3 linked regions of the Danio rerio genome follow. The protein of the gene in region 2 purifies or fractionates together with the protein of the main gene of each other region. This does not show direct contact. Links are inferred from orthologs where the notes say so. Each region holds a gene or a part of one and is shown on either strand. Other genes may lie near its edges.

Region 1 (5,029 bases), on a different chromosome or scaffold from region 2:
TGAATTTAATTACATTATCTTTCTAGTTCTAAATATGTTCTATGACTAAAATATTATTTTAATAAATATATCTGTTTAAACAAAAAAAGTTTTGTTTAAATTCACCAATGTTACCCAAATTCATTGAGAAATGGAAAAAAAAATTTTTTTTAAAATGGGTTGTACTCAGTCACTGAGCACTATATATACATGTTGTGTATACGAAGAACACATTTTACAGTGTTTGTCTATTAGAGGGCAGGACATTTTAACAATCTGAGTAACAGATGTACCTGAAGATCCTCAAATGGTCTTATGTTGTCTGCTCAGACTGGTTATTATCACGTGGCTGTCTCAATCTGATGTAATCTCTGTCAATATTGTGTTAAATAATAGGCATATGTGTGAAATTTTCCCCAAAACTTGTTTGAAAATGACAACAATAGTCATCTTTAATCTTTTCTTAAATTAGTAAAACATTGACAGTTAAAGGAGGTGCTTATAAATTATTTCACAATAACAGACATTTATTAAATATATTGAAAATAAACTGAAATGTAATAAAGATGCGGAATGAATCAATGAATTAACATTTACACTAAATACGATTTTACTCAGTAGAGACCATGGGACAAAATGGCTTGCTTATTAATTAGTTTGCTTTCTATTAATTATTCATTCATTTTCTATTCGGCTTAGTCCCTTTATTAATCCGGGGTCGCCACAGCGGAATGAACTGCCAACTTATCCAGCATATGTTTTACACAGCGGATGCCCTTCCAGCTGCAACCCATCCCTGGGGAAAACTATTAAGTATGATTTCTTAATAATTAATTAGCTTTTAATTATAATAATAATACATTTTATTTATAACACGCTTTTTTAAAACCCAAAGCGTCTACAATAAAGTAAAGACATTAAAAAATACAATAAAAACACAGTAAGAATAAAGGGGATATCACAAATTTTAAAAAAAGTCCTAAAAAGATGAGTTTTAGGTAGCCTAAAACAGTCCAAGTAACCAGTATTCCTAATTCCTTTTAGATTAATTTAAACGTTCGAAACTACAGGACAATTTATTTAATATTTAAAAAATATATATTGTCATGCAACCAAACTGTAAAGGACCATTTGAACTCTAAATTCACCATTTTAGTAATGCGTTCAGAGATGTTAATCGATGTGTAATTTCTGTTTACATTAAATCCCCGTTTTAAGAACAATCTGTTTTTAATATTAGATAGAAATCTATCCAATCATTCTAAAAAAACACACTAGGACACAAAAGAGGAAAGTGGCAGTCAGCTCTCCACACTCTCCCAAACCACCCATTCACATCTTTCACCGACTGCACGATCTTCAAACTGCTGAACAAAACGCAGGCAGAGACAGTCACCCAGGCCGCCCCATCAGAGCAGAGCATCTGCAGGACGCGCCTCGCTCACACCAATCATGACAATGGGAAGGAAACGGACAAAAGCAAAGTTAGGTTGTCAGACAGGCGGATTGGGCAATAACAAACCTCCCACTAAATCTACGGCGAGTCACGAGAGTTCCAACTTTATCAGTGTGACGGGGGACTTCCAGAACACGAGGAAGAAGCGCGCCGCCCGCCCGCCGTGCACACGGTAACCGACGCTAGCCGCGAAAACACCCCGAACGCGCTGCTGCGCCGAGGACTGCGGGATTATTTTTGCAGTCGCGTGCTTTACTATGAAACGCGGTGTCCTCCTCAAGCAGATAGAGGAAGCCAGTCAGCTAGCGAGCTGGCTAACTGAACTATCCAAAGGGGAAGTGGCAGCAACCATCGTTTAAGAGTTTCGCTAGCGTAGCTTCCGCCCAACACACCCACTTTCAGTCTGCTTGTTGTTCGCGTTGGTTTCAAATAACCGGGACTTTAACCAACTTCGGCTTTCCACATAAAGCATGCGTGTGCTGAACGGAGCGTTTCGCTGTTGTTAGCCAGCTAGCGAGGCAAATGGTCTCTCTGGCTCTCGCAAAGGCTCGCTAGCCAGCCGAGACTGGAGTCGGCCTGGAAACACAGCGGTCGTGCTCGTGTTGTTGTCACTCATTAACGACAAAACGCTTTACTTCTATGCTGTTGCTTCGCCTGGCTTTTGGGGGAAATAAGGAAGCATTCAGCGACGCCTTTCTGCGTCCCTCGAGCGCTGAAGTGCCTGGCGCATCTTGGGAGAGCAGATCTCTCAGCATGCTGGACAAAAGAGCTGAGATCATGAGCAGACTGGAGTTTTAATCGTCTTTGGCTCGTTTGGAACTGTCCGTTTTGGGGAAGGCGGGAAAATTAGAGGCAAGAATGAAGAAGTTTTCGCGAATGCCGAAGTCTGAGAGCGGAAGTCTCGGGGGTGGGTCTGGATCTGGTACTGGAAGCAGCAACTACATTGGGAAGGTGTTTGCTGTCGGTCGATACCAAGTGACTGTGGAGGAGCTTATCGCTGAAGGTAAATGCATGCACTGGATTTAGGCCAAAGAAAAGATTATGGTCAGACTTTTGCTACTGATGAAATTTGTAGGAGCCCCTCGGATATTTTCCATAGCATCATAAGCAGTTCAAGAGGGGCTAGATGTATATGCAAACATGATGTTTACGTTAGGTTGCAGCTCATCATCACATCAACAATGATCTTTCTCATAAAGTACTTCCCTAAATCTAATGTCATTTGTTGTCTGTGTCACTGTTAATAATCACATGGTTTTGGATCAGGAGGTCTGGGCTCTTCCTGAACTTGATCTCATGTTTGTCAAACCAGAAAAAAAGAAATCCTGTGTCTTTTATCTTGTCCTCACTATAGATTTAGTAAAACCTCAGGCCTTTTTCAAAGATTAAATTGTTTTATTGCCTTGCGATTACTACTCTTGGCCTTGGCACAGGTAGTAAAACAGTTTATCATCACACATACAGTTAAAGTCAGAATTGTTAGCCACCCTGTTTATTTTTTCCCAATTTTACGGAGAGAAGATTTTTTAGAAACACATTTGTAAACATAGCTTTAATAACTCATCTCTAATAACTGATTTATTTTATCTTTGCAATGATGACAGTACATAATATCTTATTAGATATTTTTCAAGACACTTCTATACAGCTTTAAGTGACATTTAAAAGATTAACTAACTTGTTCTGTAGACTATCGAAAAAAAAGGGGTTAAAGGGGCTAATAATTTTGACCTTAAAATGGTGTTTTAAAAAATTAAAAACTGCTTTTATTCTAGCCGAAATAAAACAAATAAGACTTTCTCCAGAAGAAAAAAATATTATCAACCATACTGTGAAAATTTCCAGAATCTGTTCATCATCATTTGTGTAATATTAAAAAAAATAAATAAATTAAAGGAGGGCTAATAATTTTGACTCCAACTGAAAGCCATGTTATCCCCATACAATTCAGAGAACTGCTTCTTTTTGATTTAACAGTTGCTCACTTAGCAGATTGAAGCAGCTTATTTTGATGATAAACTCTACTGAAGAGTTATAAACATTGTAAGAACCAACTTGGTACACACTTTATGAAATGACACTTTTAAGTAGTCCAGTAAATCCCCGTCTTTAGTGTATTTTAGTGTTTTATTTATGTGTGTGCCATCTAAAACACTCATAATTCTGTCATCTATTGCGTTTTAAAATACTAGTGTGTTTGTTTGTTTCCTGTGCAAATGTTTTTAGTTCTGCGAGTTTCACTGAACAGCAACTTGGCAGCCATCAACTTGCTGACTGGACACAATTATTTAATTTGCCATGAGTGCAAAAGTTCGCCCTCACAAACAACTGTTGGTCTTGAAAAATGTTTTTATTCTTTTCCTTGTTTTGGGGTTATTCATTGTTTATTGAGCTAAATGGTTTTGATCACTTTTTGGTAATTTAACAGTGTTTCATGTAATTTAAAGGAAAGAAAATATCTTAAAATATATAATATTATACAAAAACATGTTGTCTTCATCTTCCAGCAATGATTACTGCCCAAATATACTTTATTTGTTGCATATTTTAAGTTTGTGTACAGATATATTTAAAGCTAGGTTTGTTTGTTTTCTGATTATAATGATAATTTGACACTTCTAAAGAGATTTACCCCAAAATCTAAATTCTGTCATTCACTCGCTCTCATTTCATTTAAACTCGCTTTAAAAATAAATTTAGAATTTACACTTCGATGACGCAGTGGCGCAGTAGGTAGTGCTGTCGCCTCACAGCAAGAAGGTCGCTGGTTCGAGTCTTGGCTGGGTCAGTTGGCATTTCTGTGTGTAGTTTGCATGTTCTCTTTTTACCATCTACGACTTGTGGCAAAAGTAAAGTCGTTTCTCTCTTTTAATGACCTTGAGAAGGTGATCCATGCTTTTATTCTGGGAAGACTTGACTATTGTAATTCTCTGTATGTGGGTATTAGTCAAAATGCCCTAAACAGATTGCAATTAGTACAAAATGCAGCTGCGAGACTTCTGACAGGGACTCGCATGTTTGAGCACATATCCCCAGTTCTTTCCTCTCTGGGCTGGCTGCCTGTTAGGTCAAGAATTGATTTTAAACTATTAATCTTTGTTTTTAAATCCTTAAACAATCTGGCACCATCATACTTATCAGACCTGCTACACGTATACAATCCAGGTAGGTCACTGAGGTCTTCTGATGAATTTATTCTATCTGTACCAAGGTCCCGGTGTAAGCGAAGTGGGGATCGGGCTTTTGCTGTTGTCGCCCCAAAACTCTGGAACGGGCTTCGGCCCCACATCAGACATGCTCCAACTCTACCTGTTTTTAAAAAGTGTTTGAAACACCATCTTTGTTCCTTAGTATTTGAGCCTTTTTAATGTTGAGGGATTTGCCTTATGTTTTAATTGTTATTTATGTGATGTAGATTTCATGTTTAGTATTGATTGTGTTCAGCAGTTTGGGCAACGTTGTGTTGTAAAAAATGTGCTATATAAATAAACTAAACTAAACTAAACTCCAGGTGCTACGGTTTCACTCACAGTCCAAAGACGTGGTATAGGTGAATCGGGAATGCTAAAATTGTCTGTAGTGTATGAGTGTAAA
Region 2 (4,436 bases):
GAGGCCATGGCAAAAGTGAAGATCCAGGTACAAGTTTGCAGAATATGCTTTTCCACCATTCATAGGTTTTACACTGACGTATATATTATAATTTTGAACTGAAAACAATTTAATAGTTACAAAACTATAATTAAGGAACAAATTATTTCTTTGATAACTGGGAAGGAATATTTGAACCTATCGGTTACAGCATACTGATGGCCTGTTTTTTCTAGGCTTTATTGATGACAATGGTCAGGGATGTTGGACCATTGTTGCCTGTTTAGTATAAGTACAGGACAGAAACTAGACAGACAATAATGTGTGAACTGTGGTGTGGGCTAAATCTAAAGAAAAACATCTGTATTTTTTAGTAAGTGTACTTTTTTTCATTTAATCCTGACATAATAAAAATATATATTTGTATAGCAACCCATGTTCTGTTGTCATTAATATTTTAATAAACTTTAATAGGTAAAACTGCCGAAGATATGAACAAAAGCAAGTGATGCATCAAAGTTTGATTAAAAAAAATCTTGAATGGTTATAAAAATCCTTATAATCATTTAAATAACTTATAAAAATCCTAAAAATAATTTAAAAAGTTGTATTATATTAACGATATGATGTCATTCTGGAAACTTTCCACTTCTCTGTTTATCAATCTGTCTTACTGGTGGGTTTCTTTTCGGCGCCACCCTGTCGTTTTAAAGAGTATCACAACAGCGAACACGGCAAGTATAAAAGCCTTATCCATTTTGTGAGATGCACACACAGTCATCAAAAGTGCGCCAGGCAAAAGTATAAAACCAGCTTTACACTTCACATATGTTGCATGCATGTGTGAAGACCTGTCCAATCACCTCTTAGTAAGTAAATATAGAGTTTCTCAACATTCAGCATGGCAAGTGATGGAGATAAACGGCAAAAGTGCAGGTGAGACAAAAAAACATGACAGCCATTAGTGTTTCAGCAGACACTCAATGTAAATTCAGACAGTCACCCAAATAACAAATGCCAATTTTCTTGCAAAAAACTTAGATGGCCTAAATAGCCAAAAATGTAAAAAATTTTAAATTTTAAAAAGGTTTATTGTTCTTTGAATTTGTCTGCAGCCATCATTTGTAAACTTTGCACATACCATAACGAAACAGTCAACCAAAAACCATGATAAACCATTGCAACCAACGTAGTTAACTGTAATGGACTCACACACTGACCTAAGAAATAAAGGTAAAGTTGGTATTATATTCGCACATCGGGACTTTCACCTTCTTAATATAATTTCAGAAAAGTATCTTTTGCAAATTCTAAATAAGGTAATCATATGAGCAGTCAAACTCCATCAAACAGGATTCTATGACTTTCCAGTACTTTCAAGTACATTTTCATGGCGTAATGTTTCATGTAATGTCAACATGTACATGGGAAATAATAAGAAAAACAAGGATGTTAAAATTTATTAAAGCACATCATAGAACACGCAACCATCTATTTTGTTTACATTTGTTTTCATATTGATAGATTGTGAGAGCAAGTTTTTGGCCAAGGATAGTAAAGAAGTAAAGACAACTAACCTAAATTCAAGTTACGGCAGCAAAATGTATCAATTCAGCATCGATATCGCAATTTGTGCATCCACTATAGTCACATGGCAGGATATGCAATGTTGCAATGATTAAAGTTTAATATAGAGTTTAAACATAATGGAGTAAAAGTTCAGCATCAGTACGTCAGCATGCATTTTTAAAGAGATGGTTCACCCAAAAATTACTTCCCATTTATATTACACCGATCACTTGTTTCAAACATTTATGCGTTTTCTTTTTTTTCTTTTTTTTTTTTATGAACACAAAAAGAATCCAATTTAATAACTCCTATAGTATTGAAACAAGTGAAGTGCGAGTAAATAGTGAGTACATTTTAATCTTTGAGTAAACTATCCCTTTAAGGCCTGTGACTGAAATGTTTTGTAACTATTTTGTAAATAAAGTTTAAATAATATACAATGAAGACCTGAAACCTATAATTCACCTATATCTTCACTATATTTTATTTATCTATGCTTGTAATTTATTTGTTATTTATTAGTCGAGATTCACTCCCCTACAAAATTCCCCCAATCAATCCAAATAAACCTGTTAAATCATCAAGTGAAATTGTATTCACATCGCAATGTACATCACAGAAATACAAAATATGGTAATGTCAGATTTTTCCAATATCGTGCAGGTATACAGGTAATTGGTAAACACATTTTCATGACATTTCCAAAACCTTGTGGGTTTTTCCATTTTTTCAAAACTTTTCCAGGACTTGAAAATGTCATGTCAAAATTCCATCACTTTTCCAGGTTTTCCATGACCGTATGAACCCTGATCAAAGTATATTATTGTTCACAGTTAATTAAATAGAGATAATGATGCTTTGAAGTCATACTTTGCAAGCGGTTTTGGGGAAGGGTGTCACAAATTGTCAATGTTATGTGAATATAAAACTAACTTTAACCCAAGACCTGAGAAAAATGTTAAAAGCGAGTGTTGTACCTCAACAAAGTTGGTGTGTTTGGCATCACGGACTGTCACTACAGCATGCACCTCTTCAATTAGCTTCTGCTTCTCATCGTCATCAAACTGCATGTACCACTTGGCCAGTCTGGTCTTCCCAGCCCGATTCTGGATGAGGATAAAGCGGATCTGGAAATAAACAGTAAAATAATAAAAATTTTGTAAATCAGTCAGTAAAGCATAAAACATAAACCTTATTGGGGTAAAGTTGGTTTTATATTGGCAAATATTCAAAGTTTTTCCTTGATAATATAATTTCAGTAAAGTATTCTTTGCAAATTCTAAATAAGCGAACCATATTAGCAGCCAATGGCTATCAAAGTACAACATCGTTCACAGTCTATTAAATAATGGCTTATGTTTCTCAGCAAAGATGCAATGTAGAACCTCTTTAATCCAGTGTTCTGATGATGGAGGGGACATAAGTTTCCATTTGAGGAGAATTGCGTGCCTGGCGAACAAGGAGGTAAAGGCAATGACATGGCGTGTTGATGTTTGTGCAGTTGGGGTTGGAAGATAAACTGAGACATTGTTTTAAAGGATCACTGAACTTTAACAAAACATGAAGTCCTATACTGTCTGTCATTGAGAACCTTAACATTTCAGGACCTGCTGACTAGAATTTCAAAAGGGAGACTTTTAGTGTTTACTTCATATTTTCTTCTTCTATATTTACCCATTTATATATATATGATTTTAGACTTTGGTTGAACGACTTTACTCTGAGAAATAATCTCGGTTACACGGTTATCACGATTATTTTGCATTTTTTCATTCATTCATTTCGGCTTAGCCCCTTTATTAATCCGAAGTCGCCACAGTGGAATGAACCACAAAATTATCCAGCATATGCTCTACACAGCGTATCCCCTTCAAGCCGCAACCCATCTCTGAAAAATATTATGCATTTATTTATTTTAAAACACTACTAGCTTAAAAAATCACCTGGAAACTCCTCATATTAAAGTTTTGTTTATTTCTGCTTGGTAATAATAATAATATATAAGCAAATTATTAATAAAAACAAACAATAGTCCTTTCTCTTTGGACTTAAAATGAAGTTTAAAAAGTATTTTTTGCATTCAGTTAAGATGAACACAGTTTCTATAGTTATACTTTATTTATAGATAAAGGTATATGGCTCTGTATATAATCACTCTATCTTGCTGGAGTTTATAGCCGTTTCGCTTTACTTCAGGACACATTATTGCCGCTCTGAAGGTCTAATCACTGTTTTAAGTTATCCAGAGCTGTATGAATGTACAAATCTTGAATATCATAATATTATTAAATATTAAAATTTTATCAACATATACAGCAACACTTTTGCACAATCGATACCCAGCTGATTCAGTCGTTTCATAAGAGGACCGCGCTTCTTCTCTTCTTTTTTCCTTGTCAACATAAGGGCAGTGAGGTGCACCTCGCGTTTTTGGAATGAAAAAACCACGTTAGCTGTGGTCGGCCACTTGTTCAACTGCAAGACATACTTAACTTGCGGGACGACAACGTATAACCCGTGCCTACAGACACATTTGCCAAAGAAGCTAAATGGAAGAAGAAAATTGCTTGAAACAGACGTGTTGATGCCAAAAAAAGCACTGATGTTGACCTGGATCTGCGTCATAAACGCAACAAATAGGCTTTACCTTTTATTTTAAAGCTTATAAAGCATGTATGAACATTAATGCAATATCATATTTAAACAACAAAACTGTTTACAAAAAGTCAACATTTGCGCGCGTTGTTGTTGTCTTTTCATCACGCAGCGCTCGCACTTGAGCCGCGATGAAGAGAAAGGAAACCATAGCAAGACATAATCTTTAAAATAATGATTTGTATTAAAAATGTAAAAGGTTTTGTGATTATAATAATACAAGCGGGGCATTA
Region 3 (5,040 bases), on a different chromosome or scaffold from region 2:
GTTGGAGTTACAATGTAACAAGGACACCTTAAAATAGAGTAACCAAAAATGAAAATGGAAAATTACGCCATGGCATTATCAGAAAAAACATTTAAAAAGTAGTCACAAAAAGTACATAACTATTATCAAAACCTAAACTGCAACAAAAAAGAAAAATCAATGAAAAATTAAAAGTAGTAATAGCAACAAATAGGTACATGAGTAATCCTAAAATAACAGATATACACATTTATACACATCTTTGTAAATTTTTAGATACATTTACATACAGTGAGATTACTGATGCTGGTAATAACTGACCCATGTTGATGTTAGTTTTTTTCTTTGTGTATTTATTTTTCTCACCCTCTCCGCTTCTTACTCAACCCTTGTTGTGTCGGTTCCACCAATCTCCGGACAAGCCGCAAGCATTTAAAGCCTCAACAGACCAGTATGTGGTGTGCGTTCTGCCTCGGAATACCTTTTGTGCTCCACACAATTTGTTTTTGACATGCTTAATCTGTTTAGTGATTCATTATCTCAGTTTACTGTAGTAATTCGAGTTTGCTTGTTGAACTTCGTTGGCTTTGAGTAAAATAATGTACTGGTTGTTGTGCGATTCTAAACTGAGTCTTTAACCGTCTTGTTAGGTTTGTTTTAGTTTAGATGGATTTTTGTAAGATTAGTTTGAGTGTTTTCCACCAGTGTAATTTTGAGTTTTGTAGTTTATTTAGTTTAGTTCGGGTGTCGTGTACAAGATCTCAGTTTTTATTTTCATTACTTCTTTTTTGACGCCTAGTACTTTAGATTTAAGGAGAATTGTTTTGTTTTGTTCATTTCTTTGATTTGGCTTACACTCGTTGTTTTTGTTTAAAGAGAATAATTGAAAATGTTTGATACTTTTTTCATTTATTATTGTTACACATTGTTTAAACTATTGAGTAAAAAAAAGCTTAAATACTGAATTGATTCCTGCCTCATCCTTCATCTGTCGCACACATTACACCTGTCTCACCTAAATGTTACAGCATCCCACTTAAACATCTTAAACTCATAACAACACCCATTTTAATACAACGCACCACATATCTGCATAATACCATTATTCAACAAAAGTCATCAACCTGTATTACTGTTCTATCCACATATTCCAATATAATGAAGATTTGTGTATGTAAATCACCTTGACAGTTAGTTTTAGTGTAAATGATGTTCAGATAATATTGCGGCTAGCTTGTTATTACATTAGTATAACTGTTTTTTACTGTATTTCCCATTCATATAAACAGATATAAACTTTAAATGTTCTTGCAGCTGAATGTTTATCGCAAATTTCATTGATAACATAGATGTTATGTGGGTATTTTTTGCTGAAGTGAGATACAAAGCGAACTAATCAGTTAGCAATCTAAATCCGATTAACAAGACCCGTAACATTTGCACTGTAAATATCGGTAAAACAGCCCGGTTTGAATGCTGTTAAGTGTGTAAGTGCATAAGAACATAGTGCATAAGTGCATAGTGTATAGTGTGTCATTTGGGACGTAGCTAAAGCAAGTACATGTCATTAATTAATATTCCTCCTCAGTAGTTGGAGTTACAATGTAACAAGGACACGTTAAAATAGTGTAACCAAACATGAAAATGTGAAATTAAGTCATTACAACATCAGAAATAACATTTAAGAAGTAGTCACAAAAAATACATAATTACTATCAAAACTTAAACTGCAATAAAAAAGGAATGACAATTAAAGTAGTAATAGCAACAATTCAGTACATGAGTAATACTAAAATAACAGATATACGCATACATCTTTGTAAATATATGAGCAATTCCATGCAAATGTCAACCTTGCCAAGAAAAAATTTAAGTTTTCAAATAGAGAAAACGTTCCTACATTTTTTGTGTAGGATTGTATTTTAAAGTACTATAAAAATGCTCAAAAATGTCTCTGCGAATGTTTTCAAACATTTATATTTGATTTACCAAAAGCACACAAGTGGCAATTTCACATCTGTCACATCCATAATAACAGAGCTTTTCCCTGATAAATGCAGAAATGTCAAATAAATAAAATAAATTATGTTTGTTCTATAGTGAGATCTTTTTAGATCCTTTTGATTAGTATAATTTATTTTGGGTTGTGCAGTTTATTTCACAGAATTTCTACAAAGTTTGTTGTATACTGTAAACTCTATACTGTAAAATTTTTGTCACATCTATAACGCATGTTCATTTTCCTCATTTGAAATATAAAAAATGTTTACAGATTGATATTTGCCATAACTCTGTGGTCAGTTGTTTTAAAAATATAAAAACAGTTGTTTCAATATATTGTTAACATCTACTTTCTCTGTGAATTTATGTGTTGAGTTTTTACTCCAAATGTCACAAGCATAACGCTGGAATTGCTCATATACATAAATGTACATATTGTATGCATATTTCACTTCACTTAACGTTACAGAGTAATCCGTTACAAATCAAAAGTAACGTTACAGTGAGATTACTGATGCTCGTAATAACTGACCCATCACCGCTATGCTAAACTAGCGGTTCAACACCCATTTTTATACATCACACCACAAATCTACATAATAACACTATTCAGCAGATTTCATCAACTTTTATTACTCAAATGTTATTACTGTACTGTAGTCAGATTACGTTACAATTATGATTTGTGTATGTAAATCGCATTGACAGTTAGTTTTAGTGTAAATGATGTTCGGATAATATTGCGGCTAGCTTGTTATTACAATAGTATAACTCCTTTTTACTGTATTTCCCATTCATATAAACGGCCGTAAACTTAATATGTTCCTGCAGTTGAATGTTTATAGCAAATTTCATTGATAACGACGTTGTTATGTGCGGATTTTGTAGCAGACAAGAGATACAAAGCGAGCTAATCGGTTAGCAATCTGAGCCCGATTAACGAGGCCCGTGACATTTACGCTGTATATATTCGTAAAACGGCCCGGTAGCGCAAGCAATGTGGTCGATTTGTGTGCAATTGTTAGATCTGTTTCTGTTTGCGGATGTTTTTTCCTTGTTATTAGCGTATAATGGGTGATTTTAGCTGGTATTACCTGAGTGAGGGTCGCGAGGGCTGCCATCTTTTCCCTGTTGCTGCGGAAACGGCGGGTGAGGGAATGAGGGGGGGCTGAAGACGAGCGGATTAAAATATTGTTGAATATTCTTGTCGAAGGTGTTTTATTATTGTACTTTATATTTCAGATATGCCCTGCAGTGTTGACAAATGAATGTACTTATAAAATATTTATAAAGTAAACAAGACTTTAAATGAGCCCCTTTTAATTTTTTTTTTAAATTTTTAACAGCCTATTTCCCAAATTATGTTTAACAGAAAAAGGAAATTTCCACAATATGTCTGATAATATTTTTTTCTTCTGGATAAAGTATTATTTGTTTATTTTGGCAAGAATAAAAGCTTTTTTTTTTTTACATTTTAAGGACAAACTTATTAACCCCTTTAAGATATTTTTCTACTGTCTACAGAACAAATCATTGTTATACTAATATATAACAATGTTAAAAATTATATATAATATATAATAACTTGTCTAATTATCCTAATCTGCCTAGTTAAACTAGTTAAGCCTTTAAATGTCACTTTAGATATGTCTTGCAAAATATCTAGTAAAATATTATTTACTGTCATCATGACAAAGATAAAATAAATCAGTTATTAGAAATTAGTTATGAAAACTATTATGTTTAGAAATATGTTGAAAAAATCTGCTCTCCGTTAACAGAAATTGGGGAAACAAAAATAAACAATCAGGGGGGTTAATATATCTGACTTCAACTGTATACTATCTTTTATGTAGTATTATAATAAAGTAAATAGATGATGCAGTATATATATATGATATAAATATGTATGATAAAGGAAAGTATCATATATCCAAGGGTGGATTTAGTGATTTTTGGGCCCTAAGCAATTCCAGCCATACATGGGTCCCAAGTCCTGAAATGCACCCTTTCTACTTTTATTCATTCGCTCATTTTCTTTTCGGCTTAGTCCTTTTATTATTCCGGGGTTGCCACAGTGGAATGAACCTCCAACTTATCCAGCACGTAAGGTTTTTACGCAGCCCTTCCAGCTGGATCCTATCTCTGGGAAACATCCTCACTCATTCACACTCAATTTACCTATACCGCATGTTTTTAGACTGTGGGGGAACCGGAGCTCCTGGAGGAAACCCACGCAAACACAGGGAGAACATGCAAACTCCACATAGAAACGCCAACTGACCCAGCCAAGGCTTAAACCAGCGACCTTCGTGCTGTGAGGCGACAGCACTACCTACTGTGCCACTGTGTCACCCCTTTCTACTTTTACTTAAATATTATTTATATTGCTGTTTGTTGTATCACTCAATCTTCTTTTCTACATTTTAAATGGTTAATTTTTTATTTTAAAATTCATTGACATCTTAAACAAATATTTTTCTTTTATCAATTTGACTGCTGGATTGCTCCATGAAGGATATTTTATTTTGTTATATTATTATTATATAACATTACATTATTATTTTAATATATTTGATTGATTAATTTCCCAGAGATGGGTTGCGGCTGGAAGGGCATCCGCTGCGTAAAAACATGCTGGATAAGTTGCGACCCCGGATAAATAAAGGGACTAAGCCGACAAGAAAATGAATTAATGAATTAATATTTGATTGAATATCAAATAATATTCATTTATGTTCAAATTGTATTTGTTTAACTCTCACCATGCAAAATATGATAGAATACGATGTTAAATAGTTTATAAGTATAATTTATATTTCTAGATATTTACTGGGAACCCCCAGATTTCCTGGGGTCCTATGTGGCCACTTACCTCGCTCATTGGTTAAAACTGCCCCTGCATATATTTATTGTATAATCTTATTCTTCATATAGATATATCAATGTTGATCAATGAATTTAGCAAATTATAAATATGTAAAAAAAATTTTACATCTTTCTTTTTTAATTTAAGTAAAATATTATTAAGAAGTATTAGTGTTTTAACAACACATTGTG

The links. The genes of interacting proteins can lie anywhere in the genome.
Region 1: the proteins of ap2s1 (region 2) and bmp2k purify together in Homo sapiens (affinity purification with mass spectrometry; 4 studies listed by BioGRID and IntAct, counting the BioPlex papers as one, with this or other methods). This does not show direct contact. The link is inferred for Danio rerio from reciprocal best matches to the Homo sapiens genes AP2S1 and BMP2K.
Region 3: the proteins of ap2s1 (region 2) and eps15l1a purify together in Homo sapiens (affinity purification with mass spectrometry; 4 studies listed by BioGRID and IntAct, counting the BioPlex papers as one, with this or other methods). This does not show direct contact. The link is inferred for Danio rerio from reciprocal best matches to the Homo sapiens genes AP2S1 and EPS15L1.

What each region holds. Positions count from the first base shown.
Region 1 is NC_133180.1:40,002,390-40,007,418, forward strand, and holds the start of bmp2k (BMP-2-inducible protein kinase), read left to right. Parts: upstream 1-1,905; 5' UTR 1,906-2,293; coding exon 2,294-2,438; intron 2,439-5,029. UniProt on the Homo sapiens protein: May be involved in osteoblast differentiation.
Region 2 is NC_133190.1:9,940,101-9,944,536, reverse strand, and holds part of ap2s1 (AP-2 complex subunit sigma), read right to left. Parts: intron 2,676-4,436; coding exon 2,526-2,675; intron 1-2,525. UniProt on the Homo sapiens protein: Component of the adaptor protein complex 2 (AP-2). Adaptor protein complexes function in protein transport via transport vesicles in different membrane traffic pathways.
Region 3 is NC_133197.1:15,674,252-15,679,291, forward strand, and holds the start of eps15l1a (epidermal growth factor receptor substrate 15-like 1), read right to left. Parts: upstream 3,125-5,040; 5' UTR 3,102-3,124; coding exon 3,075-3,101; intron 1-3,074.